3 linked regions of the Lepisosteus oculatus genome follow. The protein of the gene in region 1 binds, or shares a complex with, the protein of each later gene. Links are inferred from orthologs where the notes say so. Each region holds a gene or a part of one and is shown on either strand. Other genes may lie near its edges.

What was found.
Region 2: nod2 (region 1) and dual specificity mitogen-activated protein kinase kinase 3 share a complex: the UniProt entries of both Homo sapiens proteins name them as parts of the signaling complex. The link is inferred for Lepisosteus oculatus from reciprocal best matches to the Homo sapiens genes NOD2 and MAP2K3.
Region 3: nod2 (region 1) and pkn1a share a complex: the UniProt entries of both Homo sapiens proteins name them as parts of the signaling complex. The link is inferred for Lepisosteus oculatus from reciprocal best matches to the Homo sapiens genes NOD2 and PKN1.

Annotation. Positions count from the first base shown.
Region 1 is NC_090715.1:2,169,746-2,177,232, forward strand, and holds the start of nod2 (nucleotide-binding oligomerization domain-containing protein 2), read left to right. Parts: upstream 1-4,485; 5' UTR 4,486-4,990; coding exon 4,991-5,473; intron 5,474-6,151; coding exon 6,152-6,275; intron 6,276-7,205; coding exon 7,206-7,487. Other genes in the region: snx20 (sorting nexin-20), read right to left, coding at 1-53. UniProt on the Homo sapiens protein: Pattern recognition receptor (PRR) that detects bacterial peptidoglycan fragments and other danger signals and plays an important role in gastrointestinal immunity.
Region 2 is NC_090714.1:4,276,562-4,284,491, forward strand, and holds the start of dual specificity mitogen-activated protein kinase kinase 3, read left to right. Parts: upstream 1-4,912; 5' UTR 4,913-5,418; coding exon 5,419-5,440; intron 5,441-7,930. Other genes in the region: protein NATD1, read right to left, coding at 494-593. UniProt on the Homo sapiens protein: Dual specificity kinase. Is activated by cytokines and environmental stress in vivo. Catalyzes the concomitant phosphorylation of a threonine and a tyrosine residue in the MAP kinase p38.
Region 3 is NC_090706.1:13,882,347-13,890,048, reverse strand, and holds the start of pkn1a (serine/threonine-protein kinase N1), read left to right. Parts: upstream 1-4,684; 5' UTR 4,685-5,149; coding exon 5,150-5,290; intron 5,291-5,802; coding exon 5,803-6,103; intron 6,104-7,163; coding exon 7,164-7,309; intron 7,310-7,446; coding exon 7,447-7,570; intron 7,571-7,702. UniProt on the Homo sapiens protein: PKC-related serine/threonine-protein kinase involved in various processes such as regulation of the intermediate filaments of the actin cytoskeleton, cell migration, tumor cell invasion and transcription regulation.

The DNA.
Region 1 (7,487 bases):
TAATCCTCGTCCAGGCAGGGACCCATCTGCCCATCATCACAGGTATCCCCCATTGGCAGAACAGTCTGGGTCTCCCTGTGATGGGACACAGAGTACACAGAGTCCTAGTGTCTTACTTCCATTGCAAAGGACATGAGACACATACAGTATAGTCAATGGATATTGTATACAGAGTCCTAGTGTCTTACTTCCATTGCAAAGGACATGAGACACATATAATCAATAGATATTGTAAACAGAGTCCTAGTGTCTTACTTTCTATGCAAAGGACATGAGACACATACAGTATAGTCAATAGATATTGTATACAGAGTCCTAGTGTCTTACTTTCATTGCAAAGAGCAGCGGGCACAACTGGAAGATATGAGGAAGCACACTGAGGACTGAGAATTGAAAGCACTCTTTTACAAACAGGGGATGGGTGCCTGGAACAAGCCACCAAGATGCTGGATTGAAGCCGATTCCCTGTGAACCCTTGAGAAACAGATGGATGAGATCTTGCAGCCAAAACGGGTGTGATGAGCTGAAGGGTTTTTAATTTGTTACCATTCTGATTTTATAGCCATCTAGGAGTTGTGATGCTTTCATATTTTATCTGAATTTTGCTCGTTCTCTAACTGGAATGTTATGATGGAGAATACGGGCATTTCATATACTACAAATAATCTTGATATGGACATGCATAAAAGCCTAGCTTTGAAGCACAGTCGACAATTAAATTAATCTGCACGTTTCCGATATGATTAATTGGGTTGTTTCCTAACCATTAGTCTGTGATTATCCTGTAAGTGATTTCTGAATAAAAGAAGAAGAACAGTGTCATGAATGGGACAGGGGAGAGAGCACAAAATTTTAGAAATATTTCTCTGAGGCACTGCTTTGTCTTTAGAGGTCTCCATTGGAAACAACAACTTAGAAATGCAAACTGCACTTGGGGAAAGATCCGGAGGTCTTTTAAAATCAATCTGTGCTTTCATTTTCTTAAAGGAGTGATGTAGAGAATTTAGAAATTCGTGTTGCGCGGATATCTCTGGGAAGCGCAGCAAGAGCCCAGGCTGTAGCCTGTGGATAAGTGAGTGCAACTGGGCTAGAGATCAACCAGCTACAGCTGCAGTTCTGCAGGCAGAGCTGAGCTCTCCACTGCAGTCAAGGTCAAATGGAAATGAAAACCCATACGAATCCAAACTACACAACCACAATGAAAGCTTTGTGTTTGAAGAATAATTAATCAGTTTCCCCAGAGAAACTAGATAAACTCAAATGTATTCTAGGGGGTACCCGTCCTTTCGAAGTCGTTGCTATTAACAATGCTGTTGGTGTACTTAACTGAAAATTCCTCCTTTATGGGATAATAACATTATTTTACTTTTTCTTTCACTTGATCCACAGTCTAGCCAAAACACTGGGCTTCCTCTCTCAAAGGTTCTCTCTCTGTTTGTATCCCAGCTGACAGTTTGGCGAGTCTGTAAAATGAGGAAGTGATGCTCTACATGGCTTTGTAGTATAGCACCTCTGTGGACAAGCGCGGGTCTGAAACCAGCATAAATTGTGACGAACTGGGTTTTACCCCTGGCCTCTGACCTCTGAACTCTGACCTCCTACAATACACTTGGCTGGTGAGCACTGAACCTCCCTGTTCTGTTTGCATCAGGAGCTGAAATATAACATAAAACTGGGCTGCTTACCCGCACTGCCGTGCCAGTGTATTCCTGTTAATGTTTTCAGTTCCACACCATGCTCACGTGTTGCGCTCTCTTACCAAGGATGAATATGCCATATTGACGGAGGTGAGCATCCTGTTAGCCTGGGCGTTCTGGCCCTGCAAGGTCACGCTAGACTCTGTCAAATGGCACTGCCTAGGGGGAGAAAAAGAGAAACAGGTCTCGGGCTTTGAGGAAGGAAGTGCTGGTCTGCGATGTGTACTGTGATTGGTCTGCGCTCACACTGTGGAGAGGGGGTGGAGGTCTGTGTGTGCAGGGAAGGAGTGGTGCTTGTGTGTGCAGGGCAGAGATGAATCAGCTGGCTTCTGAGTCAGATCTTGCAATCGCTTCCCTTCACTCGGACCCACCAAGGAAAGTGGCTCATACCAAGAGCAGGACCAACCCCTTAAAACAAGCAGGCTAAAAAAGCCAGAGGCCAGCTCTGGTGCTGCTGACTTTCCAGTCCAGTGGGCCATGTAAGGTAATTTAAGTATCGTAAAAGATACTTTAGAACAAAAATGTGAATACCCCTCATCTTGTGAAGGAAAAGGTCATTAAACAAACTATTTGTTCAATTTGATCAATAACTTCAAAGTGTTCTAAATCTTTAGATGCAGGAGACGGGAGACCTGAACTAAGTAAATGTAAGGATCTCCAGGATCTGTGTCAGACATCTCCAACCCTGATCCTGAAAAGCCCCAGTCCAGACTTTAGAGGCAGCCTTTACATCATCAGTTTCTGAAGGAACTGGTGTATTTAAGACATTCAGCGAGACAAGTGGTCCTCTCACTGACCCATTACTTGCTTAATTGATCAATTACTTAACCAAGTGTCTCTAATCCTTACATAACAGGTGATTGAGGGGTGATCTTTAATAATATCTGGTTTGAGGCTCAGAATGACCAGGGTTGGAGATTCCTATGGTAAGTGCCCCCCCAACCCCACTTATTGAATTGAAAAAATGTCTTTAAATGTGTCAATATGAGCCAGTAGCAGCTCTCCTGATGTTTTTAATTGCAAATGTTCCAAGTGTTCACACCTGGATTTCTGTGTTCCAAAATCACAGTCACTTCCCCTATTACCATGTTTTAATATATTCTAAGGACAATTATGCTTGGGACCACTGGAATACACAGTAAAGCAGTGTTGCTCTTCAAGTGGTAATAATAAAGTTTAGATACAAAAGAAATCCAAACGCGATCGGGCACCTGTTTCTGTATGTGGGGGCGGGACGGAATAAGGTGTCGTTTGATCACTGTAGACCAGCGGATCCCAGCCCACCTTCATCAGAGAACCGAAGTCTTACTTGATCTCAGAAGTTGCCTCAATTGAATATTTGCATTTTATTTCATTTACGAAATTACACGGTTCAAGTTCCAACATGCTTAAGAGCTGGGGAACAGGCAGTTCAAATTAATCTTTTTACTACTAAGTCAATGGAGGGTTTGACTGTATAACTGAGGACTCGGCTGGGACAAAACCAACAGGTGTGTGTGTGGGTCACCGGGACTGGAAGCTTTTACTGTAGGACAAGAATGCAGCTGACACGTAAGAAATTGTCTCGTCTCGGATTTTTTAATCTTGTCAGCATTTGCCTTTTATGTTAGTTTCGGTTGTCCACGTCTGCGATGTTGGTCAAAGAAACGTTTGGATTTAAACCTTATTTATACGCAAAATAGGCTCCAGATTTGATTCTCGAAAAGAAACGGACGGTGAAGCTGAAACTATCCGACTCCTTCAGTGCACCGGTGCAGCGAGTTAACGAGCGTCTCCAGATTGTATGCCGTCCTGCGTGCCGCCCCTCACGGACCTGGTTCCCCAGTAAGGCTTCTCCGTCTGTTTGTCCTCTCAGGGAGTATCTTTTAGGGATTCTGTAAAACACGCGTGTGTGTACATATATATATATACAGTATACACAGTCATCAGTCTAACACCCTAGATCCACGAGGCCGCTTGCTGGAGACGCTTCTCCTTTACGGTCAACATTGACACTTCGTGCGTGTTTATTTGTACTGTTGTACGTGTTACAACAATAATATAGTAATATAATCACAATAACAAATATCAGTGAACAGAACTCCAACGCTGAGAAAATTTAATGAAGACCGCTTCTTAGGAGTTGATAGACTCGTGTAATAGACTCTATGAGGGATAAACGTCAATCCCGCATTTTGACATCTTTAGTGAATACAATTAAAAGTGCGGTTTTATTCTCTTACATGCAATTCCTTACATCTTAAGTAGAACCTCCAGGATTAACCAGCGCATGTTTTATTCCGGGCCAAAATGATTGTGTAGTTCGCATTCAGCTGAAGCTGGGGAAAACAGCCAGACCCCGGCAAAAGTGATATGAAGGAAGGCGGATGAAAAATAAAATCCAGTTATCATGAAAAAAAACATTTAACGAAATCAGTAGTTAGGAGCCGAAAAGTCTTGGGACGCCATTTAACCTGAAAAAGGATTCTCCGGTAACAATTTGACTGGCACGTACGAAAATAACAGAAAGCGTTCTACAGGACCGTCAGACTTCACAATTAAAACCTACAGGTGATTTTGTGCCACTTCTACAGTGACCTGCTCAGCAACCTATTCAGAGGTTGCACCAAATTAGCATTGGGCTTGTGTCCAGGGGCGTGTTTTGGAAATCTGAAATTGCTAGATTGCAGCTGTCTTTAGTAAAAAAGGAGACATTATTTTCATACTGAATTTAAGAACACCCCCCATCGCCTTTGGCACACCTCTTCCCCATTTCACTTCTTTGCCGTAGGTCAATTTCTCGACTTTGCCAGGAGGTCGCACGTACTGTGAGTCGCGCTGTCTGCCGCGTTGAGAGCGCGCTTTCACGGGTCACAGGTCTGCCGAGCACACGGGGAGAACCCGGCCTGTCGGGCATTTTCTCCGGGTAGTAAAGGCAAGGCTTGGTGCATTTTCTCTTTCGTTTTGAGGGAGCTGTTTGCATCACGAAGGGAAGTTCTTCATCACTGTAAGTACTGTATGCCAGGAAGGCGATGCTTCCTGTGCTGTTTTGCAAGCGCCACTTTGCTGTGGGTGTGGAGCTCCAGTAGTGTCAGAACTGTTGAGAGAGCTCAAGGAGGTCAGCAATAGTAATCGACTTCAAGCCGCCCACTGGCGCAGCCAGATCAGGTCAGTTTCGCCTGCTGGGCTTCTGTCCGACTGCCTTCTCAAGTCGAGGTCAGTAACTGTGCTGTGGAAGTCTTCTGTCTTCCAGCAAGCTGGAGTGGGGCTGCTGTCTGGCGGGAGTCTTGGAGGGCCGTGCTGAAGGATGAGGCATGCGCGCCCAGCTCTTGGTGCAGACGCAGAGGACTGAGCTGGTGAGGGTGCTGGGCGGGGGGGCGGCAGACGGGCTGGAGAGCGTGTTGGACCTCCTGCTGGCCTGGGACGTCCTGCTGGGGGAGGATTATGAGAGCCTGCGGGCTCCGGGGCAGGCCTTGCACGTTACTGCCCGGGAACTGCTTGACCTCCTCTGGAGCAAAGGAGAGATGGCTTGCCAGTTCCTGCTGACAGCTATCGGCCAGGTGCTCCCGCAGGATCAGAAAGCTGGCTTGTCCCTGGGGAACTGCAGCTGCCCGGTCAGAGGAGCCGAGCAGATCCCCTCCACTGGCACTCGGACCCTGCAGAGGGAGCGGCCCAGTCTCGTGAGGAAGCTCCATGGCAACACTGGTGGGGCTCTGAGGACCCTCAGGGAAGCAGGTTGCTTCAGCGCTTATGACTGCGATGAAGTCCTGTTGCCCATATACACACCCTCGCAACAGGTAAGGGAAGCCGAGGAATTTGCACTTCATCAGACAAGTTTTGCATGTCTCTTTTCGCAGGATTTGAGAGATCTGTCTGGATCCAACACCTTCCTGTGCACATAGGATTTTCAAATTACGCTATTAGCTTCTCAATGTTGCTGCCTTATGAAATTCTGTGCTCACAAGTCTGGTCTGACGGGATCAGTCCTGTACGCAGTCTTCATGATGGATTCCTGAGCTGGGATATGATGCTTTATATAAACATTGATAGTTCACATAAATAAATCCAGCACTAAGCAGTCATTGTTGCCTTATTTCTGAAAAGACGTGTTCTTTTAGTGTGGTTCTGTAATACTATCTGTTAAATATGAACAAAACTGCCTTTTCCTGGAGAGACAGAGCATGGCTTTCATACCGCAGCATTAAAAGGAAGATATGTGCCCTAACAGTAACTGAATGCAGTCAGATTAATGCACAAATCACATTTCAGTTGAAGTGTGAGAGAATGCAGTGTACATACACATACGTCAAGTGTCAAGAATGTGCTGGAGGCGGCTGTTGGTTCTGTGGTCCGTGCACCAGGAACCTGCTGTTGGGTCTCTCTGGTCTGGACACCTGGAGCCTGCTTTTGGTTCTGTGGTCCGGACACCAGGAGCCTGCGAGATGCCGGTGGTGTCAAGCGTCTGTGTTGCGCAGGCCAGGAGACTGCTGGATCTTGCCGGATCAAAGGGAGAGGCAGCAGCTGAGGTCCTGTTGTCATACATCCAGCAGACAGGAAAAGGACCCACGCAGCCTCTGACGGATGACACACACAAACCAGGTATGTCTGGGAACAGAGTGGGCAACATTTAATATCGAATCATTATAATTCCATTCATCAAGCAATCCATCGCTTCAGTTTCTGGCCACTTCATTCAAATCAGGGCCGTGGGGGAGCCAATGCCTATCCCAGCATGCAGCAGACACAATGCAGGATACTTCCTGGACAGGATGCCAGTCCATCAGAGGGCACACACAGAGTCGTATACACTCACACTAGGACCAATTTTCCCAGAAGCCAATTGAGCTGCACTTGTTTTTTTGTACTGTGGGAGGAAACTGGAGCAGCTGGCAAAACCCCAAGCGTACCCAGGTTTACAAACTATATACAACTAACTACAAACGCCACACAGACAGCACCGCAGGTCCAGAATCTAACCCAGGGCTCCAGCAAAGCTCCCCACTGCGCCATCGTGCGCACCATCCACCCAGAATCATCATATTGGGAACATTTTGGTAAAACCTGTTCTTGGACTCAACCAAACCAAGTGTTCATCTATTGGGGGGGAAATCAGTCCTGTTAAAACTTTTTTTTTCTCCCATTCAGTGCTGTGAACACTGGACTAGTTATATTGGACAAAACTGGTGCAATTTCATTTAAAAGCCTGATAAGCATTAACATGATCACGGAACAGGTAAAGGTTTATTCCAGGCTGAACGGAAAAGAAAAGAGACTCATCGTTTTGTCCGTGCAGCCTCCTTCAAGTGTCCGACCAGTGTCGCATCTGAAAAAGGCTCCACAGCCCAAACATTGCGTCATTTTTCTTTTCCTTTCAGCATGGAATTAACCTTTACCTGTTCCTTTGCAGCCCACACAGCTGCCTACTTGAACTTCTTTATCGTGATCACTCCCTTTCCTCAAAACCTGTTTCAGCAGTGCTATTTTTGTGTTGCAGTGATAAACATACAGTGCGCTGGCTTTGTTTCCTAGATCCGGTTCCTCTGACATACCAGAGGAAGCTGAGAAGCATGGTCTCAGCCCAGTCTCGGTTCCTCAGCATGTACGGTGGGATGGAGAACCTGTCTCTGGAGGACATCTACACGGAAGGGGTGCTGGAGGTTGCGCAGGGTTCTGGGGAGCCACAGCGACCTCTGGGCCTGGAGGACATCTTGTCTCCCGTCGGGGTCGTGAACAAGGAGGCGGACACAGTGCTGATATCGGGCGAGGCTGGAAGTGGGAAGAGTACTCTGCTGCAGCGCCTGCATCTGCTGT
Region 2 (7,930 bases), on another chromosome or scaffold:
CCCCCCACCCCGCTTCGTATTTTAGGGCGACGTGAAGGCTGAAATGTAAAAGAACAGGGGAGGAAGGCATCGCTTTCGGTGACAGGAAACTGAACAAAACAAGGTCTAGAAGAAAACTATACCTCAGCTGCAGCGAGGGGTTTTAAGCAACAAGCCGGGAGTTTGCAGTCTTTTCGTCGCTCCGTGAATTACCGGAACCAACCGCGATCACAACCTCCCCGGTCTGAAAATGGAGATATCTAAAAACACATTTTGTGTTGTGTTTGGGGAGGGGGTTATGGGGGTTAGAGCAGACGTCGCTAGTTTTTAAACTTCAGCTTTTACTCCCGCACGATTACCGTTGTTAAAACGACGATGCGAAACGAGTACGGCGAGGATGACTCGTCAAAGCAAGCAACAACAACACGATTCTTCAAAGTGCTCGTTTGGAAACAAAGGGAGGGGGGGGGAACTGCAGTAAAGTGCATTTGCAATCGCGATCTCCGGACTTTACCGTTTAATCTAACAGTGAATTGCCTCCTCTTTCTGTCGTGCTCCACTTTGATCGGGCAGTTGAGTTGTTCGAGGACGTTAATCTGCGCTGCCTGGGCCATCTCTATTATTTCTGTTAGTATTTTCTCCCGAGATCATGCAAATAGGTAATCAGTGGGCTACGAAGTAGGGCGAACTACGACGGAGAGGATTCATGATCCCGTAAACTGACAGAGAAGTGAAGAGAACACATTCTCCAGCCCCAGGAAATCAGCTGGAGGGACACGTGGGGCGCTGTGGCCAATCAGCACCCGCAGCAACTGTTTTGATCCGCTGCGCTGCTGCTGCGTTAAAGGAGCAAAGCTCTCCCAGGCTCTGCCGGCGCAAGGAAGGCCAAGGGCCCCAAATGTCGTGCCCTCCGGCTCCAGTGCAAGCCCTGGAGATTATAGTGTGAACACAGCGCGACAGCTGTAGGCACGGCTCTTGGCATGACCGGAGCCGCTGATGTGCAGGCAAGCGTGTCGCCTGCAGCTTTGCATGACTTGAGAGCTGCAATTAATTTTTGTATAACTGCGTGTAGACCACTGTCCAGTCACACACACACACACCCTGAGACGATGTGCTCAAGCTCTCAGTAGCCCAGGAAAAGTAAAAAAAAAAGGCAGATCCATGGCAGAAGTTCCTAGGCCTTAAACCCTGAAGCGACTGTTACTGAAATACATGACTCCCATGCGCGTACGGACACAATCAGCATGGAAAAACCAGAGGGACGCCTGTCTGGAACCGAGAGGTGTTGCCTACTCTTACACTCAGGAAGACATCAGCGAACACAAAGACACAAGCATCCATTGTCAAATCTTTAGAGAGCGGCCAATTAAGGATGAAATGTCACTTCGGTGCTAGGAAAACAGCTAAAGTACTCAGGGCACATACATGCCCATAGGAAGACTGTTGGTGTTGAGAACGCGTTGCTTACTCCAAAGATTGATTCCTGCACAAAAATCATAAATTGGTCATTAGCCTACCTAGTCTTTTACCTATGGATACAAAGTTTCAGTTTTTCCTGGGGGCCCCCTGTTAAAAAAGTGAGTGTGCCATATTGCGAAATGCCATTCACAAAATTAGCTGGCAGCTGCGGTAACACTTTTTTTTTTTTACCATATGTGCACAAGCAGCCAGCCTGAGGGAAGCTGTTAGCATTTGCTGTCCGGCTCTGGGAAGAATTGAAACTCTCCAGCTGTGAACTTCCGATCCCCAGTTTCTATATGTTAGCTACAAACCTCCATATCGTGGCCCACGGCTTTTGCACAAATCATTGAAGTTCTCATTCAACAAATACTACGATGTCTAAGCTCAGATAGTTGCATGCACGTGATACTTTTAAGATTTGTGTTTAGCAGGATGCTATTCTTTTATAAGAAACGAGAAATTATAGTTTTATAGTGATCTTACCACTAAGAAATCACAATGGTCTAGAACGTTAAGACCTATGTGACTGATTATGTTGTTGATCAATTAATAAGAAACTATGAGTCGCTGCAGCACCTCCTGATTGTTCCTTTGCATAAGAAGGCAAAGACTTTGGAAGAATTTGAAAAAATGCGAAGAATGCTAATTGAGCTTAAATGAGTTCCCTTCACTGACCTCCTCTCTCTCTCTGGGCTTTGCAGATAATACCGAATGATCCAACGGCATCGCTCGCAGTGAAGGTGAAGGATTACCGAGTCTACCTGTGGTTTGACCTCAATCTTCTGCTCCCTCCACGGACACCCTGTGAAGTCTCTCGTGGCAAAACGAATCAGTTTCAAAGGAAGATGAGCAGTCTCGCAGACGGAGAGTGACAGGAGCACCGCACTCTGTCACAGGCAAGCCGAATGTCATTTCTCAGGCTGACACTGCGTGAGGTGTGTCGAGTCAAAGGGCCTTTCTGACCACTTCAAGCTGCAGTATCGCGGCCCTTTTGAAAGATGCTGAATTATAATTAACACATTAGGATAAGCTTTCTTTAGGATCAAGGAAAATTCAAAGCTTTCTCTATAATAATAATAGGTTCTGACTTCACACCTTTCTTCACCTCTCTCCCCTTCACACTTCCTGAGTTGCCTCTCTGCTCCTCCTGTGTCCTCCCCTCTCTCAGCTTTTGTTCTTCTGTGCTATTTCATCTTTGCTGTCTGCCCTGTCTTTCTCGCACCTGAAGAAGATTTCACAGCCGAAACGTTGTTTTCTCTCTTCTCTTTTCAGCATGTAATAAACCTTTCACTTGTTCCTTTGCAGTCTACGCATGCTGACACAGCTCCCCACTTGTATTATTATTATTATTATTATTATTATTATTATTATTTGGCATGTAGAAGGTGAATACATGATGCCAGATGTTTTGGCAGTACAAAGATTTTGGCACTGGTGTCGGTTGCCATTCCGTGAATTTGCAGCAGGTTACTTTCCTTGTATCTGATAGGTTGGAAACATCCTGCTAGCTGAGTCCGTGTGTTGTGTCTGTATTGCAAATGAATAGCTGACTTGGTTGGTTTAAAAGACGAGACGATTCCCAGCTTTCTTGATCAAGTGTGCACTGCCGTAGTGGAGCGGTAGAGGAGAAAGTGGGACCTGGATAGAAACATTCTTGAAAAAATGGTTGATAAAAAACGAAAAACATTGTCTCTATGTGAACAGTAGATTACATGTATTAAACAATAATCCTATAAGTGAACAAAACAGTTTGATCCCGAAGAAGGGTCCACGGCCGAAACGTGTTCTCTTTCTTCTTTTTTTCCAGCATGGAATAAACCTAGTACTTGTTCCAAAACAGTATGATGCCCTAAATAATATTTAAACTTCCTGTGAAAATTAGATTATTGTTTAGGATTAGCACAGGGCATTTAGAAATGTAGAAGAAAAGATTAGAACAACTTTTCTCTCCAGCTGCAGATGAAATACCATGTTTTTTATTCCATGGTGTTCTCCACTAGAGGGCTCAATACCCTGTAACAAACCCAGACAACAAGTTCAGACATGCACTCAAGGTTTAGAGGGTTGTAGGCTCAAATTGAAGAGAGCCATGTGATCACTTCTACAGCACTGTTTACTTTTAGTCATTCAAGCTGCATGTCCAGAAAGTGAAGCCTGACCCTTGTTCAATCTAGGACTGCTGTCCAATGAAGTCTCTTTCTTCGTGGAAAGAATTGCAAGTACTTATTCATTTAGCATCTCATGATGCTGGAGAGGCGATTGATTCATGCCTTAAAATAGGCATTTTGAAATGTTTTCAAAGCATAATTAGCTTCTTTTACCGGATGCAAGAAGGGACTGCTTTGACAACCTTTTTTTAAAACAAAACTCTCATGATTTAGAAAACCACATCTAGTTTTTAATCCATCCATTCCTTTTCTAACCTCTTTAACTGATATGGGTCACAGGGGGGCCTGAGTCTATTCCTGGCCAGCATTATTTTTTAATATTAAAAGAAATATTAGGTGTAGAGATTTAAAGCACGTGTTTGAGACCTGAATGTAAAACGGTGTAAGAACAGGCTTGTCGCACCAAAGTAATCATAACGATGGCGACACATACTGTACATCGCTGCACAAATCTTTGACACTGAAGACTTGATCAGGAGTTACACTCTAGGAGCATCAATAACTTGCTCAAAGCCTCCATTACTGCTATTCCAACAACTTTGACTTTTATTTATGCGGCTTAGTTAAAGGGAGAGGAAGCCACGCTTTTCGTTTAGAAATCTTTTATTCACATTGAACAGGATCTTAAAAAATAAACAGCCAAAAAACAGGTGTTGTAGTACCTAATCCATTGCAATCACGAAACAGATCTGAGTGACTCATTGTCAGGTGCTTCTCTTGAACAACAATAATAAGCAAGTATTCTGTGACCCTGCAACTTACGTCACTTATTAATGCACGTGTAGAAAGAAGTTTGGAAAGTGTTTTTTGTGTAAATGCTGTACGACGCTGCAACATAATGACAGAATCCGCCTCACAGTCTGCGCAGTTGTGTAGTGAAACATGCATTGTACCAGCTCTAACGTCATGCCGTCAAAGAATAGCTGCTACGCGAGACTGGAAACTGTTTTTCTTTTTGATAGCACACGACCAAAAAAACAAGGTGCGTTATTTTTTTTTGCTTCACACCGCGCGTAATTCCGCAAGTACCCGTAACGCTGTCGGTGGAAACGAACGTCACGCAAGTACACATACTTCCATCCGGCGTGGCAGTTTTTGGAAAACACCCCACGAACTTGCCACTTCCTAAATCTCAGAGCACCAGCTCGCCAGCAGGAGGATGCTACACCCTTTCAGAGCAGCAATTCTCTTTCTCGGGACTCAAACTTGATAGAACGAGGGCCGGCCCGCTCGCCTCCCATTGGCCCGCAGCGCCGCCTGCCGCCTTCCGATTGGTCGAGCGCGCTAGTACGGTCTTGGATGACGTCATTGATTAAAACCTCCAGTCACCGAGAGAACGAACGGAGTCCTGTACCTTGTGGCTTTTGGGGGGGGTTATTAATGAATTATTTGTATTGTTGCTTTCACTTTTTCATTAATAATTTGGGGGAGCTTCTCATGAATGCCTCTACGCTGCTACGGCCTATGGTGTAGAAACCGCCGCTGGTGTACGGTGTGCTCTGGCACTGTACCGGTAACATAATTCTGGCATTGTTTCTTTGATTGAGCAACGACGATTTCTGCAACAGCGCACAGCGGACAAAAGTTGAGAGATCCGTCCCTCCTTGTGCGGTTCGGTTCGGCGATTTCCCTGCAGATCGAGCCTGCGTGCTCCTTGCAAGCCCGGCAGGATTGTCGTTGCATTGAGTCTCGGAAAACGGATACTGTTTCTGTGCGTGTATTGTCCACCCCCCCCAGCTCTTCAACAGGCGTTTCTGTACAGTGCACAACAAAATCAAAGGCTTGCACCTCGGAATTGGGAACCCACAACATGTCAATGTCCAGAAACACCGGTAAGTGAAGATCGCCTTAAATTGCTTATGGCGCTGTTTTGCTAATTACTGGACAGAACAAAAAAAAAGCAGTAAAGGTCCAGGTGTATCTGTTTCATTCAATAAAACAGATTATTGCAGCCCGCACATGTAGTTTAATTGCTTGTGGGCTTCAACCTAGGGTCGTGTTTGCCCCCTCTCTCTAATTCCCTAAGTATCGCCCGTCACGAATTCCCCGTCTAATTTCAGCCTTTTATTTCCAGAAACTACGCCGCTGGGATACAAGCAGAACAAATAATTCCTGTTTTATCTGCTTATGCGGAAACTTAAGCCGCTCGCTGGCTCAGTGGCGCGGCACGGAAAAGCATTATATATATATTAGCCAAGAATGCACGATTTAAACCGGGTCCCAGTTTGTTGTTGCCCAAGCAACGATTGAAAGAAAAAAAGCAGCAGCAAAGTTTTCTGGTGCATTTGGCCCGAGCCAGCTGAAGAGGGACCGGGCTTGTTCCTAACGATATTGAGGACACCGGCGTGCAGTTTGAGCTGCGACCTCTTGGGTGGTGGTGCAAGACCCGGAACAGCGTGCGCAGCTGTGTGGGTGTCGGGGGGGAATGGCGGGTCGGTTCGGGAGGTGGTCGAGGGCTTGGCCAGGAGCAGCTGGGCATTAGTTTAGGAAGTTAGAAAAGTAGGTTATCGCCGGGAGAGGGTGACGAACTGTTCACGTGACCGTGCGAACTCCGTGCATCTCAAAAAAAAAATACGAGACCAACGATTTTGTTTTTCTAGATAGCAGCAATATTCTGCAAGGACTACAGCAATCACAGTTTTGCTGGGCAGCGTGGGGGGTTCCGTCTGATTTCCTCTGTTCAAAACGTTAGAGACGTGATTAAAGGCATTGCGACTCATTATCAAAGGCAGTGAAAAACGGCGAGCACAGCACGGAGAAAAAAAAACCCGAGCCTGGTATCCGAGTCGCCTTAGAGCAGACTTCCTCCGTACCTCAAACCCAAGGGCACAGGGAAAGATAATTCCTACAAAGTATCCATGCCACTTTGCAAATCTGGGAAAGCCCACGCGAACGTGCGTTAAAACAGGTTGCCAAGGCGTGTTTGTTTTCATTGGGGCAAAAAAAAGGGGCTTTTCCTCCGTGTGCGCTGTGCTAGCGCCAAAACAACCTGCAATGAGTAAAAGTACGGGAATCTACACCAAGCACATGTTTATTTTGGGTGAAAGATTGAAACGGGTGTATTTTAAGACTTGGGCTTTCATTCTTACCTCTTGAATGGGACAGTATAACTTGCAGAATTCTGCACGCATAGCTTTAACGTCGGTAAATGGTATTTAGTCGCCTTTTTGTCGTAGTTGTCAGCACCTCTCGGTGTTGTCTTCCAACTCCTTAATTCCCCATTTGTCGTCTGTACCGTGCTCAGGTTGTGATTCATCTAGTGTTTTCTGAATGGCGTGGCTGACTCACTCTTGCTGCGCGTTTATATGCTGTGACTGAGAGAGGTGCTGGTGTGTAGGAGGCATGCGGTGCCATTTTTTTTAAAGGGACGAGACAAGTCAAGCAATCCTGCAGGTTTATTCCTATATGACATGACTTTCCTCTGCCCGAACTGCAAGGAAACATGTTCCACACAGCTCTCCCCAATTTTGCAACTTTACCCGTCCAGTGGAATTTGAACCATGATTACGATTAATGTGTCAACTGGATTGGATTCATGTATCAGTACCCCGATCCAAGTATCCAAAATCCTCAAAGGCCTCAACAAAGTCAGCCAATTGGATTTCTGCAGAATGAGCAGTAAAACACAAACCAGATGACCAGGAGTGGGGAAAGTGCATTTCAAATCGTCAGGTGTTTCATGAAGCAAGCCGTGGTATCTGCTTCAAATACATGGCTGGTCAGCTTGTTCCACACCCCCCCAACTCTTTGGATAAAGAAAGTGTTCTGGGTTTTAAATCACTTCCATGAAGTTTCGACTTATGTGCCCTGGTTCGTGTTTCACTGTTTATGCTGAAGAAGTCTAGAGGGTTGACTTTGTCAGTCTTAAAGCTGTGTTGGCTTTTTGGTTACTTTCATTCAGTCTCGGTATTAAATATTTTTCCTTTGCACTGAAAAGCAAATTCAAATAATTAACTAAGTTACTTGAAGGAGGCTACAAAAGCTCTTATTTTAGTGACTTAAGGCTCCAACATAGTTTAGGCATACTCTGTGGGTATAGCAGAATTCACAAGCCTGGATGATAGCAGTTGATATTAAGTTGATGCATGATTGCATAATAAACTCATTGTGGAGTCCATTGATCAATAAGTGTTCCAGTCTCCTTAAGGAGTAAGTCTGAACCTGCAAACATCATTATCAGCTCTTGTAGAAAATTAGTATTGACTTACAACAGCTGCCTGGTGGCAGTTTAGATGTTGGGCCTGAAGAGATACTTCATATCAATTGCTTTTCTGTTGTATGGCATTTTCAATGGCACATTATATTATTGGTTCCTGCTTATA
Region 3 (7,702 bases), on another chromosome or scaffold:
AGCCAGGTCTGCCTGTGTCCAGTTACTATGGCCAGGCTGTGGTCACTGAGCCTGTCCTCTCTGGACAGCCAGGTTTGCCTGTGTCCAGTTTCTGTGGCCAGGCTGTGGTCACTGAGCCTGTCCTCTCTGGACAGCCAGGTCTGCCTGTGTCCAGTTTCTGTGGCCAGGCTGTGGTCACTGAGCCTGTCCTCTCTGGACAATCAGGTCTGCCTGTGTCCAGTTACTATGGCCAGGCTGTGGTCACTGAGCCTGTCCTCTCTGGACAGCCATGTCTGCCTGTGTCCAGTTACTACGGCCAGGCTGTGGTCACTGAGCCTGTCCTCTCTGGACAGCCAGGTCTGCCTGTGTCCAGTTTCTGTGGCCAGCCTAGTATCATTGAGCCTGTCCTCTCTGGACAGCCCAGCCAGGTCTGCCTGTGTCCAGTTTCTGTGGCCAGGCTGTGGTCACTGAGCCTGTCCTCTCTGGACAATCAGGTCGGCCTGTGTCCAGTTACTATGGCTAGGCTGTGGTCACTGAGCCTGTCCTCTCTGGACATCCAGGTTTGTCTGTGTCCAGTTTCTGTGGGCAGGCTGTGGTCACTGAGCCTGTCCTCTCTGGACAGCCAGGTCTGCCTGTGTCCAGTTTCTATGGCCAGGCTGTGGTCACTGAGCCTGTCCTCTCTGGACAGCCTGGTCTGCCTGTGTCCAGTTTCTGTGGCCTGGCTGTGGTCACTGAGTCTGTCCTCTCTGGACAATCAGGTCTGCCTGTGTCCAGTTACTATGGCCAGGCTGTGGTCACTGAGCCTGTCCTCTCTGGACAGCCAGGTTTGCCTGTGTCCAGTTTCTGTGGCCAGGCTGTGGTCACTGAGCCTGTCCTCTCTGGACAATCAGGTCTGCCTGTGTCCAGTTACTATGGCCTGGCTGTGGTCACTGAGCCTGTCCTCTCCGGACAGCCAGGTCTGCCTGTGTCCAGTTACTATGGCCAGGCTGTGGTCACTGAGCCTGTCCTCTCTGGACAGCCAGGTTTGCCTGTGTCCAGTTTCTGTGGCCAGGCTGTGGTCACTGAGCCTGTCCTCTCTGGACAGCCAGGTCTGCCTGTGTCCAGTTTCTATGGCCAGGCTGTGGTCACTGAGCCTGTCCTCTATGGACAGCCATGTCTGCCTGTGTCCAGTTACTACGGCCAGGCTGTGGTCACTGAGCCTGTCCTCTATGGACAATCAGGTCTGTCTGTGTCCAGTTTTTGTGGCCAGGCTGTAATTACTGACTCCATACTGGTCCACCACTCACAGCAGATCCCAGTGCTGACCAGGCCTGGTGTGTGTGTGTGAGAGAGAGAGGGAGGGCTCCAGCCTCGTCTGAGGCAGTCCACCAGGAGCAGAGGTGTGTGTGTGTGAGAGAGGGCTCCAGCCTCGTCTGAGCCAGTCCAGCGGGGCTGAGGGTGCTGCTGTCTCTTTAAGAGCGGCGATGAGCGATCAGTCCCCCGGCTGTGGCGTGCTCTGTGGCCTGAGAGAGAGAGGGAGGGAGCGAGCGTGGAGCCCCGAGCGGACGCGTGCCCACGTAGGGACACAGCAGGCATGGATGGGGATCACTGTGAGTGTAGGTACCCTGCCACGCCGACGGGCCGACCGGCCGGGGGGGGAGTGGGGTCGGCGGGCCAGGTGCTCTCGTTTCCTCCGGCCCGGCTCTCTCTGCTGCTCCCGGCGCGCGGCAGCAGGAAGTGCTCCGCTGTGCGCTGGCGGTTCCACTTCCGCAGAGGCTCGCAGACGACTCGGGGTCCTCTGCAGACGGGGGGACCGGACCCGGGTCTGGCCTTGGGGGGGCGTCGCTTGGGGGATGGGTGAGGGCAGCGGTGCCCGCTGACCTGCCTCGGCAGCGCTCTGTGGGCAGAGTTCCTCTCCTGCTGTTCGAGGACGGACGTCCCTTCTCTTCTGATCGCCTCATTGGTGAAGCCCCTCTGCCTGCCCTTCCTCTCTTGCTGCGGCACGCAGAGCAGCGCAGGAGCAGACAAGCTCCTGCAGCTCTCAGAATAGATCTCCTCGCTCTCCGAACTTTCTCTTCTGCAGTGTAGCAATCAGCATGTGGTCCGCTGTTGAAATGCTGGCCGACAGACACTGATGACTGGCAACGATATTAACTGCAACTGACAGGCTGATACAGCAGACTGACTGACTGACTGACACAGGGGCCTGCCGACTGTGACTGACTGACTCACTGACACAGGGGCCTGCCAACTGTGACTGACTGACTGACAGACACAGGGGCCTGCCGACTGTGACTGACTGACTCACTGACACAGGGGCCTGCCGACTGTGACTGACTGACTCACTGACACAGGGGCCTGCCGACTGTGACTGACTGACTGACTGACTGACTGACACAGAGGCCTGCCGACTGTGACTGACTGACTCACTGACTGACTCACTGACTGACTCACTGACTGACTGACTGACTGACACAGGGGCCTGCCGACTGTGACTGACTGACTGACTGACTGACTGACACAGGGGCCTGCCGACTGTGACTGACTGACTGACACAGGGGCCTGCCGACTGTGACTGACTGACTGACACAGGGGCCTGCCGACTGTGACTGACTGACTGACACAGGGGCCTGCCGACTGTGACTGACTGACTGACACAGGGGCCTGCCGACTGTGACTGACTGACTCACTGACACAGGGGCCTGCTGACAAACACAGGCAGGGGTTGACACAGGGACTGGCTGAGCTGACAAACAGCTTAAGCACAAGCGGTGCTCGAGCTTGGCGACGTCTCTCGGCCCATGCCCGTTCGCCAGCGGTGATGCATTGGAGCCCATTGATCTTGCGGCCTGTTCCCCGCGTCTCTGCTCCGGCTTCTCGTTCCTGCTCTGAAGCGCGTCGTGTTTCAGCGGCCAGTTCCCTCTTCTCGGTTCCCAGTTTCCCCTCCGGTCTGCGTGCGTCCGGATTGAGGAAGGGGGCGGAGAGCTGGGGCGCTAGCAGACGCGGGCGGCCCGCTCGGACCCTGCAGTGGTGGCCGGGAGGGGGAGGCAGCCATGGGGGCAAGAGAGCAAGAGAGATGCCGCCACACGTCCGTGCGCGTGGCGTATGGGCAGCAGGAGCGCCCCGGCTGAGCCGAGCCCCCCGCGTGCCGGTCTGACGTCTCCCCCCCCACCCCCACCACTGCGTTTTCAGAAGCGAGAGACGAGCGTAGCGTCTCGACCTCTCGCCTCCCGGAGCCAGTGACAGCAGGAAGGAAGCTGTGTGGCTGAGCTTGCAACACGTACCAGCTCAGTCACTCTCTCTCTCTGCCTGCCGTCCCTCCATCAGCAGTTAGAGAACAGGAAGTCCCCGGGTGGGGCTGGCGCAGATTATTTCTCTGTTTCTCGCGCGGCAGCTCGGGACCTTGTGCTCTTTATTTTGTTCCAAGTTTCGCCTGTTTTTTTTTGTCCTCCCTCCCCTGCACATCCAGTCCGGGTGGGAGCGGCCAGTGCCGCGTGCCGGCGAGGGAGGGGTGGGGGGAGGCCTGGGAGCGTGGGATTGTGGGACTCCAGCGATGTCCAGCGAGGAGGGCCCGGGGCCCGGGCCGCGGGCGGAGGAGAGCGCGGCCGACGCTCCGGAGATCGAGACCGCGGTAGGGCAGCTCGGCCCCGCGGCCGCCGGCGCTCCAGTGTCCGTTGGCTGACGTCGCGGTTTTCGGTTTCTCGCCGCCGTCCCTCTCGTTCTCTTGCTCCGCTCCTGTGTCGGCCACTCCCATCTCCCCGCCGGGGCCCCGTGTGTGTGTGTGTGGCCCCGCGTGGCCCCGGGCCTCAGCCTCCAGGGACGGGGCTGACCTGTGTGTGTGCGATGGGGGAGGGGAGAGGAGGGTGCTGTCAGGACGGCCAGGCGCAGGCTCGGCACCGCGCAGGGATCACTTCCATCCTAATCTGTTTATTTTTCTTTCTGATTCAATTGTCATCGATTTGAGAGGTCAACAGGCTTCAGTTTTCCAGAGAGTTGTCATCCTGAATGTGTCTCATTACTATGTGACTCATTAGTTGTTATATGAACTCGTACTTGTTAAACCCAGTGCTAATCTGCTGAGAGCAGGAATAGATAGCAGCCTCGCATGTCTCCTCCTGACATCACAGAGCACAGGCCGGACTGGACTGACTGTACTGTGAGCTGGATTAGTTACTAACTGAGATTATAATCAGACTCACACTGACCGAGCAGTCTGAGACTCTCCAGGGCAGGACTGGACTGACTGTACTGTGAGCTGGATTAGTTACTAACTGAGATTATAATCAGACTCACACTGACCGAGCAGTCTGAGACTCTCCAGGGCAGGACTGGACTGACTGTACTGTGAGCTGGATTAGTTACTAACTGAGATTATAATCAGACTCACACTGACCGAGCAGTCTGAGACTCTCCAGGGCTGGACTGGATTTACTGTACTGTGAGCTGGATTAGTTAATAACGAATTAACAGAGAGAACTCTCCTACTATCAGAGCATTTGGTGACAGGCTCGAGGGGATGTAGTCAAATCCCTTCCACACCCCCTACTTCCAATACATGTACTGTTTGGCATAGGGTTCTGTTTCCGCCCGGACTTCGCTGGCTCAGATCTGGGCTATCCTAAGGGTCCTGACACTTAGACAGATCTGCTGAGCGTGCTCTGAGGCAGCCTGTGAGTTTGCAGTGTACTTGCCACCTCTCTGTCTGCCCTCTGTGGTTCATGGAGCGACAGAGGAGCGGCATGCCTCTTCATGCTCACTTAGGAGGATCTGGAATGTTGTGAGAAATATCAGGAAAAACGGATTTCAGTTTTTCAGGCATCAGGTTACACAATAGACAAAGGCATTATTGCGGTGTGGTTCTGTACAGTTGCAATAAAATTATGTAAATGAAGGAGGAAACTTTCAGCGCAGAACCAAAGCTGTGCTGCGTGGAGAGAGAGGAGACCAGATCTTCTGTAGACATGGGCGTCTTGCGAGTCACATGACCAGTGACCTCACACTCACAGAGCTCCTCCTGATGGGCTGAACGCAAGACATGTTTCACAGCACAGAAGTCAGGTTTGCTCTAGGAAACATGGGAAGAGCAGATGGACACGCTGCCTTCTGGGTGTCCCCCAAAGCGGAGGTGTGGAAACAATAACTGGCGAAGTTTTTAGAGTTTCAGAAACGCTGTCCTGTCTGCTCTCGGAGGATGCAGAAGGCAGGGGCTTTCCAATCCAGCCTGGGTCAGAGAGAGTGCAGCGTCCGTCTCTATAAAGAAACAGAATCCTTTATTCTGCAGCAGTCTTGCAGCCCGGTGCTGCTCTCGGAAGGCCTATGGAGGAAACAGGAAGTGAGTCAGTCTGCGCTGCAGGCCGAGGGCTGATGGGCCCCTGCAGGGATTTAGACCAGACTGTCTTCTGTAGTTTGTGTTTGCGCTGTGTCTCTGGGAAGAGTGTTCAGGGGGCACAAGAGTGAACTGTAGACAGTGACGGAGCTCTGTCCCTGTCTTGCTCTTTCTCTGTTTCTGCCTTCCTCCCCCACAAGCCTTTTCTGTTCTGTCCCACAATCCCTCTCTCTGTGGACATGGCTGTCAGCTGCTTCCCTGCTTCTTTCCTCCTAGCTCTCTCCCTCCTCTCTCCCTCTCTTTACCCCTTTCTCCTCCTTCTCCCTCCCTCTCTTCTCCCTGTCCCTTTGTCTCCTGCATCTTTCCCTGCTTTCTCCCTCTCTCCAACCCTCTCCTCCCTCTCTCTTTCCCTGAGTGACATGTGGACAGAGGTGTGTTGTCAGTTTCGCAGCAGCTGAGCTCTCTTGCCTTCTCCCTCAGTCTCTCACAATACCTCCTCCTCTCCTGCTCTCTTACAGAGTGATCCAGCGGGCCTGTCGGTTCTGGAGCAGCTGGGCCTGGACCAGAATGCGGACTTCTCGGACACCAGCGTGCAGCAGCGCCTGGACGAGGAGCGGGAGCGAATTCGACGGGAGATCCGTCGGGAGCTGAAGATCAAGGAAGGGGCGGAGAATCTTCGGCGGGCCACCACGGACAAGCGCAACCTGCAGAGCGTGGACACCATGTTGAAGAGCTCCAACCGCCGCCTGGACGAGCTGCACGCACAGCTGCAGGAGCTGGACGCACACATCGTCGTCAAGGGCCCTGACGAGATCAGAGGTAACAGCAGCACTGCGCTGAGACAGAGCTCAGTGAGCGAGTGTGCCATCAGAGCTCCGCGACCGAGTGTGCCGTCAGAGCTCAGTGTCAGAGCTCTGTGACCAAATGTGCCGTCAGAGCTCAGTGTCAGAGCTCTGTGACCAAATGTGCCGTCAGAGCTCAGTGTCAGAGCTCTGTGACCGAGTGTGCCGTCAGAGCTCAGTGTCAGAGCTCTGTGACCAAGTGTGCCGTCAGAGCTCAGTGTCAGAGCTCTGTAACCAAGTGTGCCATCAGAGCTCAGTATCAGAGCTCTGTGACCGAGTGTGCCGTCAGAGCTCTGTGACCGAGTGTGCCGTCAGAGCTCTGTGACCGAGTGTGCCGTCAGAGCTCTGTGACCGAGTGTGCCGTCAGAGCTCAGTGTCAGAGCTCTGTGACCGAGTGTGCCGTCAGAGCTCGGTGTCAGAGCTCTGTGACCGAGTGTGCCGTCAGAACTCAGTGTCAGAGCTCTGTGACCGAGTGTGCCGTCAGAACTCAGTGTCAGAGCTCTGTGACCGAGTGTGCCGTCAGAACTCAGTGTCAGAGCTCTGTGACCGAGTGTGCCGTCAGAGCTCGGTGTCAGAGCTCTGTGACCGAGTGTGCCGTCAGAGCTCAGTGTCAGAGCTCTGTGACCGAGTGTGCCGTCAGAACTCAGTGTCAGAGCTCTGTGACCGAGTGTGCCGTCAGAGCTCGGTGTCAGAGCTCTGTGACCGAGTGTGCCGTCAGAGCTCAGTGTCAGAGCTCTGTGACCGAGTGTGCCGTCAGAGCTCGGTGTCAGAGCTCTGTGACCGAGTGTGCCGTCAGAGCTCTGTGACCGAGTGTGCCGTCGGAGCTCTGCGAGCGACGGTGCCATTGGAGCGCAGTGACGGAGCGTACCATGGGAGCGCAGTGACGGAGCGCAGTGTCAGAGCAAGGCACAGTGACAAAGTGGTATAGTGCAGTGACAAAGCAGGCAGCACAGTAACAGAGCACAGAGCACAGTGACAGTGAAGCCCTGGTGCACTGTCGGAACTGTGTAAGAGACAAGCTGTTTGTCTGTTCCCAGATGCCCCTCAGTCACCTGGTACAGTGAGCCGCTCCTCTGCCAACCAAGACCGCATCGCCGCTCTGGAGAAGCAGCTCAACATCGAGCTGAAGGTCAAGCAGGGGGCAGAAAACATGATTCACATGTACTCCAACGGCTCCACCAAGGTATGGCTCTCCAGCACTCTCTCTCTTTCCTTCCTGGTGCTCTCATGTAGACTCTGCCACCGTAGACTCGCTCTGCCCTTCTTTAGTTCAGACACATTTCAGGCCTTCGTGCTTCCCTCTCCCTCTCTCTGCTCCAGGACCGGAAGCTCCTCCAGACGGCACAGCAGATGCTGCAGGATAGCAAGACCAAGATCGACATCATCCGCATGCAGATCCGCAAGGCAGTGCAGGCCAACGAGCTGGACACCGAGGACAGCCAGGGTCAGTCTGTGTCTCTGTCTGTCTCTATCACTGTCTGATGAGCTGGACACTGAGGACAGCCAGGGTTAGTCTGTGTCACTGTCTGATGAGCTGGACACTGAGGACAGCCAGGGTCAGTCTGTGTCACTGTCT